Linked DNA regions of Macaca fascicularis. The protein of the gene in region 2 binds, or shares a complex with, the protein of the main gene of each other region. Links are inferred from orthologs where the notes say so. Each region holds a gene or a part of one and is shown on either strand. Other genes may lie near its edges.

The links.
Region 1: the proteins of TJP1 (region 2) and GJC1 are in contact, whole or in part, in a crystal structure (PDB 3SHW), measured with the Homo sapiens proteins. The link is inferred for Macaca fascicularis from reciprocal best matches to the Homo sapiens genes TJP1 and GJC1. Residues at the interface, in NP_003248.3 of Homo sapiens: Lys429, Ser432, Val433, Gly434, Leu435, Arg436, Leu437, Gly449, Val450, Leu451, Val484, Leu487, Leu488, Leu549, Asn551, Gly552, Lys553; in NP_001073852.1 of Homo sapiens: Lys391, Thr392, Ser393, Val394, Trp395, Ile396.

What each region holds. Positions count from the first base shown.
Region 1 is NC_088390.1:65,888,108-65,892,408, forward strand, and holds the start of GJC1 (gap junction gamma-1 protein), read right to left. Parts: upstream 2,922-4,301; 5' UTR 2,730-2,921; intron 2,363-2,729; exon of another isoform or gene 2,151-2,362; intron 1-2,150. UniProt on the Homo sapiens protein: One gap junction consists of a cluster of closely packed pairs of transmembrane channels, the connexons, through which materials of low MW diffuse from one cell to a neighboring cell.
Region 2 is NC_088381.1:7,734,050-7,737,859, forward strand, and holds part of TJP1 (tight junction protein 1), read left to right. Parts: intron 1-1,397; coding exon 1,398-1,480; intron 1,481-2,685; coding exon 2,686-2,896; intron 2,897-3,196; coding exon 3,197-3,297; intron 3,298-3,810. UniProt on the Homo sapiens protein: TJP1, TJP2, and TJP3 are closely related scaffolding proteins that link tight junction (TJ) transmembrane proteins such as claudins, junctional adhesion molecules, and occludin to the actin cytoskeleton.

The DNA.
Region 1 (4,301 bases), on a different chromosome or scaffold from region 2:
AAATGTGAACGAAATGCAAATAAAGCAATAGTTTTTTGGAACTCATCACTTTGCATTGAATTAGGCATGGAACAACCACTACTCATTTGTTAAGATAATGATGCTCTGGATTTAAATTATATATCCTGTATTCTAAGATCCTCGTTACTGAACTGATTGATAGGCAAGCCTGGACCTGGGGGGAAGTGGACTAATCAGAAACAGAACCCTGCATTCCTTCCCTTTGGCTGACTTATACAAATAAAAGAATAACATTTAATTGACAAAGGATAATAGCTTATAAGTAAGATTGTTATGTTGGAGATGTGTTAACTTAAGTCCTTTGAATTAAAAGCTAAAACTCAGTTTCACCTTCATGAATTGATTAGAGAGAAAATTACCAGGTCCTTTGCTCTTTTTTAAGAGAACTGTGGTGGCTACCTGGTAGAAAACAATTCTTAAGTCACACAACCTCAAAAGTTAAAAGTGCTAACTTTTGAAAAGGATGTTTGAAATGCTTTGGAAAATTGCACAACAGTTGAAGCAGTAAATAATATTAAGCCATTACAAATCAGGACAAATATTAACAGACCTTGCATATAACTTCTATGTATCTCTTCAATACGCCCTTTGCCTACAGCACTCAGGGCACAAAAATCTGGGGAAAACTTAAAACTAAGATCTGTTTATCGGAGCTTTTTACCTTCTACCCAGAAGAGTTCGTGTTTCTTTAATTCTGCCATTACACAGTACTTAAGACATCCAAAGCAACTGCAGTGATACAACTCTATGCTAAGTTTTTAAAAAGATCAGTAAACTTAACCCACAACTCACAGTATTTTAATCAGGAGTTCTGGAAGTAAGGGTATTTTTCTGTTTTTTTTCCATACCCTCTGAGGTTGAAATTTTTTTACTCTTTTACTCTGAATAATACCTAAACCCTCCCTAGGGAGAGAAATATTTTACTCCTAAATGACATTATTAACGCATTTTTCTACAGATATTAATGTACTGGAGATATGCTGTTTCCTGCTTATTAGGAAATTAAAATCCCTTTCATTTATATAGTTTGATTTTTTATAGCGCTTTCATATACTCACTTGAACGTGTACACGACACAAACATACAACAAATTTAGACTTATCAGGCATACCCTCAGCCAGAACTTATTCAAACTTACTCGATTTCACATCGTCTTGATGTTAACAAAATTAAGCATGAGCACAATGAAATCCGTATTACTACCAGTTCTCAATGAACAAAAAGAAAAACCAAATTCGCCCATTTCGCAAGGGAAAAGTACTCCCAATCAGACAATCGCAAAAAAAGAAAAAAAATCTCAACCATACATTCACGTAAATCTTTTCAACTCAGAGCTCCAAACGCAGTCGACAACCACACAACTGCCCACAATCACAGCGGTAGCGCCTACTCTTAATTTTGAAGCTAGAGACTTAAGGATACACACACACACACACACACACACACACACACACACACACACACACACATACACACACGTTCTCTAAAGTTTGACAAAGTGGGGGAAAAGTCATTTTAAGTAAAGAAAACGAGTTAATCAGGAGGCGATGAGCCCAGTCCTTCCGCCCCGCTTTCCCGCTTCCAGCCCTCGAACTAACCCTCCTCTAACCCCCGAGAGGCAGGAGTTCTAGCGGGAAGATGCGGAAAGCGGCCGGAGACTCAGGGACCGAAGTCGGGGAGACAAAGAGCAGCCCGCGAAGCGCCCGGGTGGCGAGGGGCGGCCCGGCTCCGCCCTGCGCCCCTAACCGCCCGGGTAGTTGTCGGCACCGCCGGGGTGCCGCCGAGTGCGCGCCGCCTCTGCCCGGGCTCCCCGACAGTCCCCCGACAACTCCGCGGCCCAAGACACCCCCGAGCCGTTTCCCTCCGGATTTGGGAGCCGCGCGCTTGGGGACAAAGAGGGAGGGTGCGCCGGGGGCAGTGGCAGGACGCGGGCCGGCGACGCCCCTCCGGACTCGGCGGGAACCCCTCGGCGGCGCCCCCCTCCTCCCTCCGCTCCGGCCGCGCTCTTCCCTGGACCTCCGGAGGTGCTCCTCGGCCCATCTTCGGGCTCCCCACGAGTTCTCCCGCCTCCCCCTGGGACCCCGCCCCTGGCCCGCTTCTCCTCAGCCGGCCCTGCGGCCGCCCCTCACCCGGCGGCGGGTTCCCCCGGAGCCGCCTCCTCCGCCGGGCCTCGGCCCGTCCCGCCGGCCGCGGCCTCATGTGCCCAGCGTCGCCATCGCCTTCGCCTTCACCCTCGCCTCTCCTCCACCTCCTCCGCCGCTGCCGCCTTCGCCTCAGTCTCCAGCCGAGGCAGAAGCCGCTCCCGCCGCCGCCGCCGCCGCCTCCCGCTCCCGCTCCCGCCGCCGGGACCCGCGGGAAGGCGCCTGCGCACTGCGCGCTGCGGTGGGGGCGGGGGCATCCCGCCGCGGCCCGGGAGCGGGGGGCGCGCGGCACGTGGCGCTCGAGTGGGAGGGGGCGCCCCGGAACGCGCGGGAAGCGACGGGAGCGCCAACTTTCCGCGGTCGAGTCCTCGCCGGGCTCTCGGATAGTCCGGGACGCGGGGGAGGCGCGGCGCGCGTGTGAGTCACCCGCGTGGAGTTTGGACCCCGGGTGGGCGCAGACTTCGCTCCGGGCAGTTCTCCTCCAAGCTGATTTTCGGGCGAGAGTCCCCTGCTAGCCGCGCCTCAGTTTGAGCTGGCCGCTAACGGCGCCGTGGGTTCTCGCCTTACCTGGGTATCCTGGGTTGGTTCAGCGGGCCCAGAGTTGTCTTCTGCGCGCTCCGCCGAGGCCTTGGTCCATTGTAGCACGGGATGCTAATGTCTCCTTCTAGGTTCTGCTCTACAATTCCTCGAGGATCTGGCGGGCCCTGGGTGGATCTAGCTACCCTAGCGTCTTTGAGTCGGGGCTCTTAGAAGTGCTCTAGATACTTTTCAGGTCCTGAACTTCTCGGATTAACAAGACCCTAATAGGCTATTTCCTCTTAACTCTTTGCATCCCAGCAGGGTCCCATTCAGAGGACTTGGGAAAATTTTTCATGCATAGGAATCCCCAGTTTTAAAATGCCCAGTAGGAAACCGAAAATTCTCCAAATGCTTTAAGTAGAGTGAGACTTTGGCTAATAAAGGAAGGCTTAGTAAAGAGATGGGCGACCTCTGGAATTATCTCATCTGAGCATCAGAATGCCGATGGATAGGCTTTTATTATTTTGCCCTTTTGACCAGAGGAAATTAAGCGCTAACAAGTGAGGTTACTTGCTGCAAGTCAAACTCCCCAACCCAAAGCCAAGCCCTAAGGGCTAGCCGCAGAGTGGAAAACTTGAAGGCTAGGCATCTAATGCACTGACCAGTTTTTTGTGGCCAGTATGGTGTTTTCCAAAAATATGAATTAATTACCAAAATATTGAAATCCAGATTTCTGGCCTCCCTAAAAAGTCAAAACGTGCTTACTTTGAGCTGCTCTTTTCACATGGCAGCTCCTCTTGAGTCACCTTGTCCGGGTAGGCAATGTCCCCACTCAGCTACTTAAATCATTTCATGACCTGCTTGGCCTAGCAGCATTTAAGTACTTCTCCCTGTGATTGCTGTAGTCTGTCCCCATGTCTTATCACATTGCCTCTCTACAGATGTATTTAAAATGACAAGTGTGGGATGGATGCGGTGGCTCACGCCTGTAATTCCAGCACTTTGGGAGGCCTAGGCAGATGGATTGCTTGAGCCCAGGGGTTCCAGACCAGCCTGGGCAATATGGCAAAACCCCCATCTCTACAAAAAATATAAAAATTAGCCGGGTGTGGTGACACGCACCTGTGATCCTAGCTACTCCAAGCATGAGGTGGGAGGATCGCTCAAGCCCGGCAAGGCTGCAGTAAGCTGAGATCGCGCCACTGCACTCTAGCCTGAGCGACAGAGTGAGACCCTGTCTCAAAAAACTAAGTGAAAAAAATAAAATGACCAGGGTGGAAACCCTGAAAATACCTGGAAATAATAATAAATAACATGTAACTAAAATAACACAGTAAACAACATCATTGTACCTGTTGAATAAAATATTAAAATTCTCACAACCTGCAACTGTAAACTAGCATAAATCACTTTGTTGTTTTTGTTGTTTTTGTGACAGAGTCTCACTCCGTCGCCCAGGCTGGAGTGCAGTGGGGTGATCTCGGCTCACTGTAATGTCCACTTCCCAGGTTCAAGAGATTCTACCTCAGCCTCCGGAGTAGCTGGGAATACAGGCCTGGCTAATTTTTGTATTTTTAGTAGAAATGGAGTTTCACCATGTTGGCCAGGCTGGTCTCAAAT
Region 2 (3,810 bases):
TTCTGAACATCAGAAGATTTGCAGACAAATGATTTGAGTAAAATCTGAGCAAGTTAGAAAATGTTTATTTCTATCTTTTTAGTTTATTCAGAAGAGGTTTTGTTTTATTTTGTTTTGTTTGAGACAAGGTCTTACTCTGTTGCCCAGGTTGGAGTGCACTGATGTGATCTCAGCTCACTGCAACCTCTGCCTTCTGGGTTCAAGCGATTCTCCTGTCTCAGCCTCCCCTAGTGGCTGGGATTACAGGCACCTCCCACTGCGCCTGGCTAAGTTATCTGTAGATGACATTTCACCTGAAGAAGTTGGTGGTGACCCTTATCCATAACCAAATGTAGGATTTTTAGATTTGGGAAAAGCAAGTATGATGACTTACAAAGCTCTGCCTTAAAGGGTAATACATTGGTTTAATCAGGTTTACTCCACAAAGAGGAATTCAGGTAGCTTAGTTGTATATCTTCTTTGAATCTAATGACAGTCTTTTGAATTGAGGAGTTAGTCACATTTTTTTTCCAGCCAGAATTCCCAGTTGGTCTTTCTTCTTAATTCTCCAGTGTTCACTAGATTTGAAATTCTGCCCTGCTTGCCCATGGTGCTTTGTCTTATGGTAGTCTCATTCTCTAAAACCATTTATCTTGACCATCAGTGTGACTTGTCTTTCCAGATCTCTGCCTTTGTCTGATCTCTGAAACACCAAAGCTCTTCCTTTCCTTTCAAACTTTCCTTGTGACCACAGTCACAAACGTTGCTGTGCTCTGAGATGGTGGTTGGAAACCAGTCCAAGCTGCATTTGGCACATTATACACCAGTGAAGACAGGTTGCCAGGATGAAGCCATAGGTTGTCTCACAGTTACAGATGAACAACTCGCTGCCCCTAGGTTCCCCTTCTACTGATGTAACTAAGGTCTCTAACCGAGAACTCCCTAGGCAATCTGCTATAGCACCATTACTGATGGTTGATGGACATGCCAAGGTATTGACCTCTTCAGCCAGTAGTGGCTGGTTAGAGCTTGGCAAAGGAGCAGCCTCCTCAGTTTATCTCAGTGTGCCATACAAGTAATATTTTCTCTGGATGTTACAGTGTGAAAAGGGGTGGGAGGTAGTGCCGTGTTGAGCCATGTTAGAGCCCCAGGCAAAAGAAAACAATGTGCATTCCTATATATTTTTTCTTCTTTAATGGCTAATTTTTTTCCAGACTATTAAAGTAGTTGGAAAAATAGTGAAAAAAAAAATGAGAAGTGTGCATATTAAAACTTACTTTAAGTACTGCATGCATAAGACAGTTTCCACAAACAAAGTACTGTCCAGCCCGGCATATCAGTGGTGGCCAGCAGTTGAGAAACTCTGATCTAACCAATGAAAATTTGATGTCTTATTTTTGTCCTGACATAATGAATAGAGAGTGAACCACGAGACGCTGGAACTGACCAACGTAGCTCTGGCATTATTCGCCTGCATACAATAAAGCAAATCATAGATCAAGTAAGTTATTAAAATTTGGCCTATTTCATTATGTTATTGTGGTTTTGAGTGGGATGGGATTTGGTTAATTTGAAAGTAGAAGGTAGTTTTTCTAAGACTATTACTGACATACTATAAGAAAATTAAGCCCTTACTGAAAAGCATTATAATAATTACTTTCTTTTTTTTTTTTTTTTTTGAGACGGAGTCTCGCTCTGTCGCCCAGGCTGGAGTGCAGTGGCCGGATCTCAGCTCACTGCAAGCTCCGCCTCCCGGGTTCACACCATTCTCCTGCCTCAGTCTCCCGAGTAGCTGGGACTACAGGCGCCCACCACCTCGCCCGGCTAGTTTTTTGTATTTTTTAGTAGAGGTGGGGTTTCACCGTGTTAGCCAGGATGGTCTTGATCTCCTGACCTCGTGATCCGCCCGTCTCGGCCTCCCAAAGTGCTGGGATTACAGGCTTGAGCCACCGCGCCCGGCCATAATAATTACTTTCAAGGGAATAGTTACTGTAGGCATCAGAAGATGATTTTTCATTACCAGAAAACAAGTGTATGATGTTTAGATGTAATTAACAGACTGCTTATATATTACATCAGTACAATTCAAGTTGTAGTTTGATATTTACATTCGTAAGGAATATCAGGAACATTAAATTCTTAAACTTATTTTTTTCTAACTGCACACGGATAATACTGTCAGATGGCGGTGTTAGGGCTAAGTCTTAAAAGTGAACTTCATAGAAAGGTTTTTAGAAATTTGGCTAGAAATGGAATTGAATTAACTTAAAATTAGTTTTTTAATATGTGCTCCTGAGACATTAGAATACAATTAAAGATCCGTTACCACTGAAATTTTGTTTGTTTTTGTTTTTGAGGTAGGGTCTTGCTCTGTCACCCAGGCTGGACTGCAGTGGCGTGATCTCGGCTCACTGTAGCCTCCACCTCTCAGGTTCAAGCGATTCTTGTGCCTCAGCCTCTGAAGTAGCTGGGATTACAGGCGTGCACCACCGTGCTTTGCTAGTTTTTGTATTTTTAGTAGAAACAGGGTTTCTCCATACTGCCCAGGCTGGTCTCGAACTCCTGGCCTCAAGTGATTCACCCACCTCGACCTCCCGAAGCGCTAGGATTATAGGCATAGCGTGAGCCACCGCACCCAACTGAATGTGATGATTCTTAATGAATGATGTCTTGTGTCTTTGTATATACTTTGCTTTCTTTTTCTAGGACAAACATGCTTTATTAGATGTAACACCAAATGCAGTTGATCGTCTTAACTATGCCCAGTGGTATCCAATTGTTGTATTTCTTAATCCTGATTCTAAGCAAGGAGTAAAAACAATGAGAATGAGGTTATGTCCAGAATCTCGGAAAAGTGCCAGGAAGTTATATGAGCGATCTCATAAACTTCGTAAAAATAATCACCATCTTTTTACAAGTGAGTATGTTAATAAAGGCCTTCTTTCAGCTTACAATGCCTGGGCAACATTAAGTAGGCCAAAATGTTACAATGTTCAAATACTAAAACTTATACAATCTTTTCTTGGAACGTTTCCTGTTGTGTTAACAGCTGCTGTTTGGTTAAAAGAAAATATACAGTAGCAAAATAGAAATTTCAGATGTTTGCATCCTCAGATACCATCTTTCAGTAATGACGATTTAGCTGTAAGCAGGGTTGAATTCTTCTGACTTTTGGCAGTGCTCTAACCATAAAACTACATCGTTAATTTATTTTCAGCTACAATTAACTTAAATTCAATGAATGATGGTTGGTATGGTGCACTGAAAGAAGCAATTCAACAGCAGCAAAACCAGCTGGTGTGGGTTTCTGAGGGAAAGGTAAGACATTTCCTGTTACGTTTTTGACTTGTTCAGTAAACTATGTAACTAATCAGAGATGCTTTTGAGGTACCAGTGCTTTCTAATTAGATCAACATTTTGGAGAAATTTAGGGAAAGTTAGCTTTTAGGTTTTTATAATTTGTGTGTAGGGGTTATGAAAGTTGTTTCTGATGGTAAGAGAATTCTTAAATTTTCTCACCTGTTGAATTACCACTACAGTAGGATTGTCTCCTAAAGAATCTCAAATTATAATGAAGAGCAGGTTGAGTTCTGATGCTGCCCCTGTCTGGCTATGAATGACGACTTTGAGCCTGGCTTCAGTTTCCTCCTCTGAAAATGAGGGGATTTGGAGGCCTAGATGAGCATCTCTCAAAGTGCTGTCCTCAGCATTCTCAATTCAGGACTTGCTCTGAGAGAGAAGGCACTGTGAAGGCAAGCAGCAGGTGGGAAATAAACCCTAGACCCCTTCAGGAGTATCCTGGTACCCACTGGCATTGAAAGGCTCTGAGAC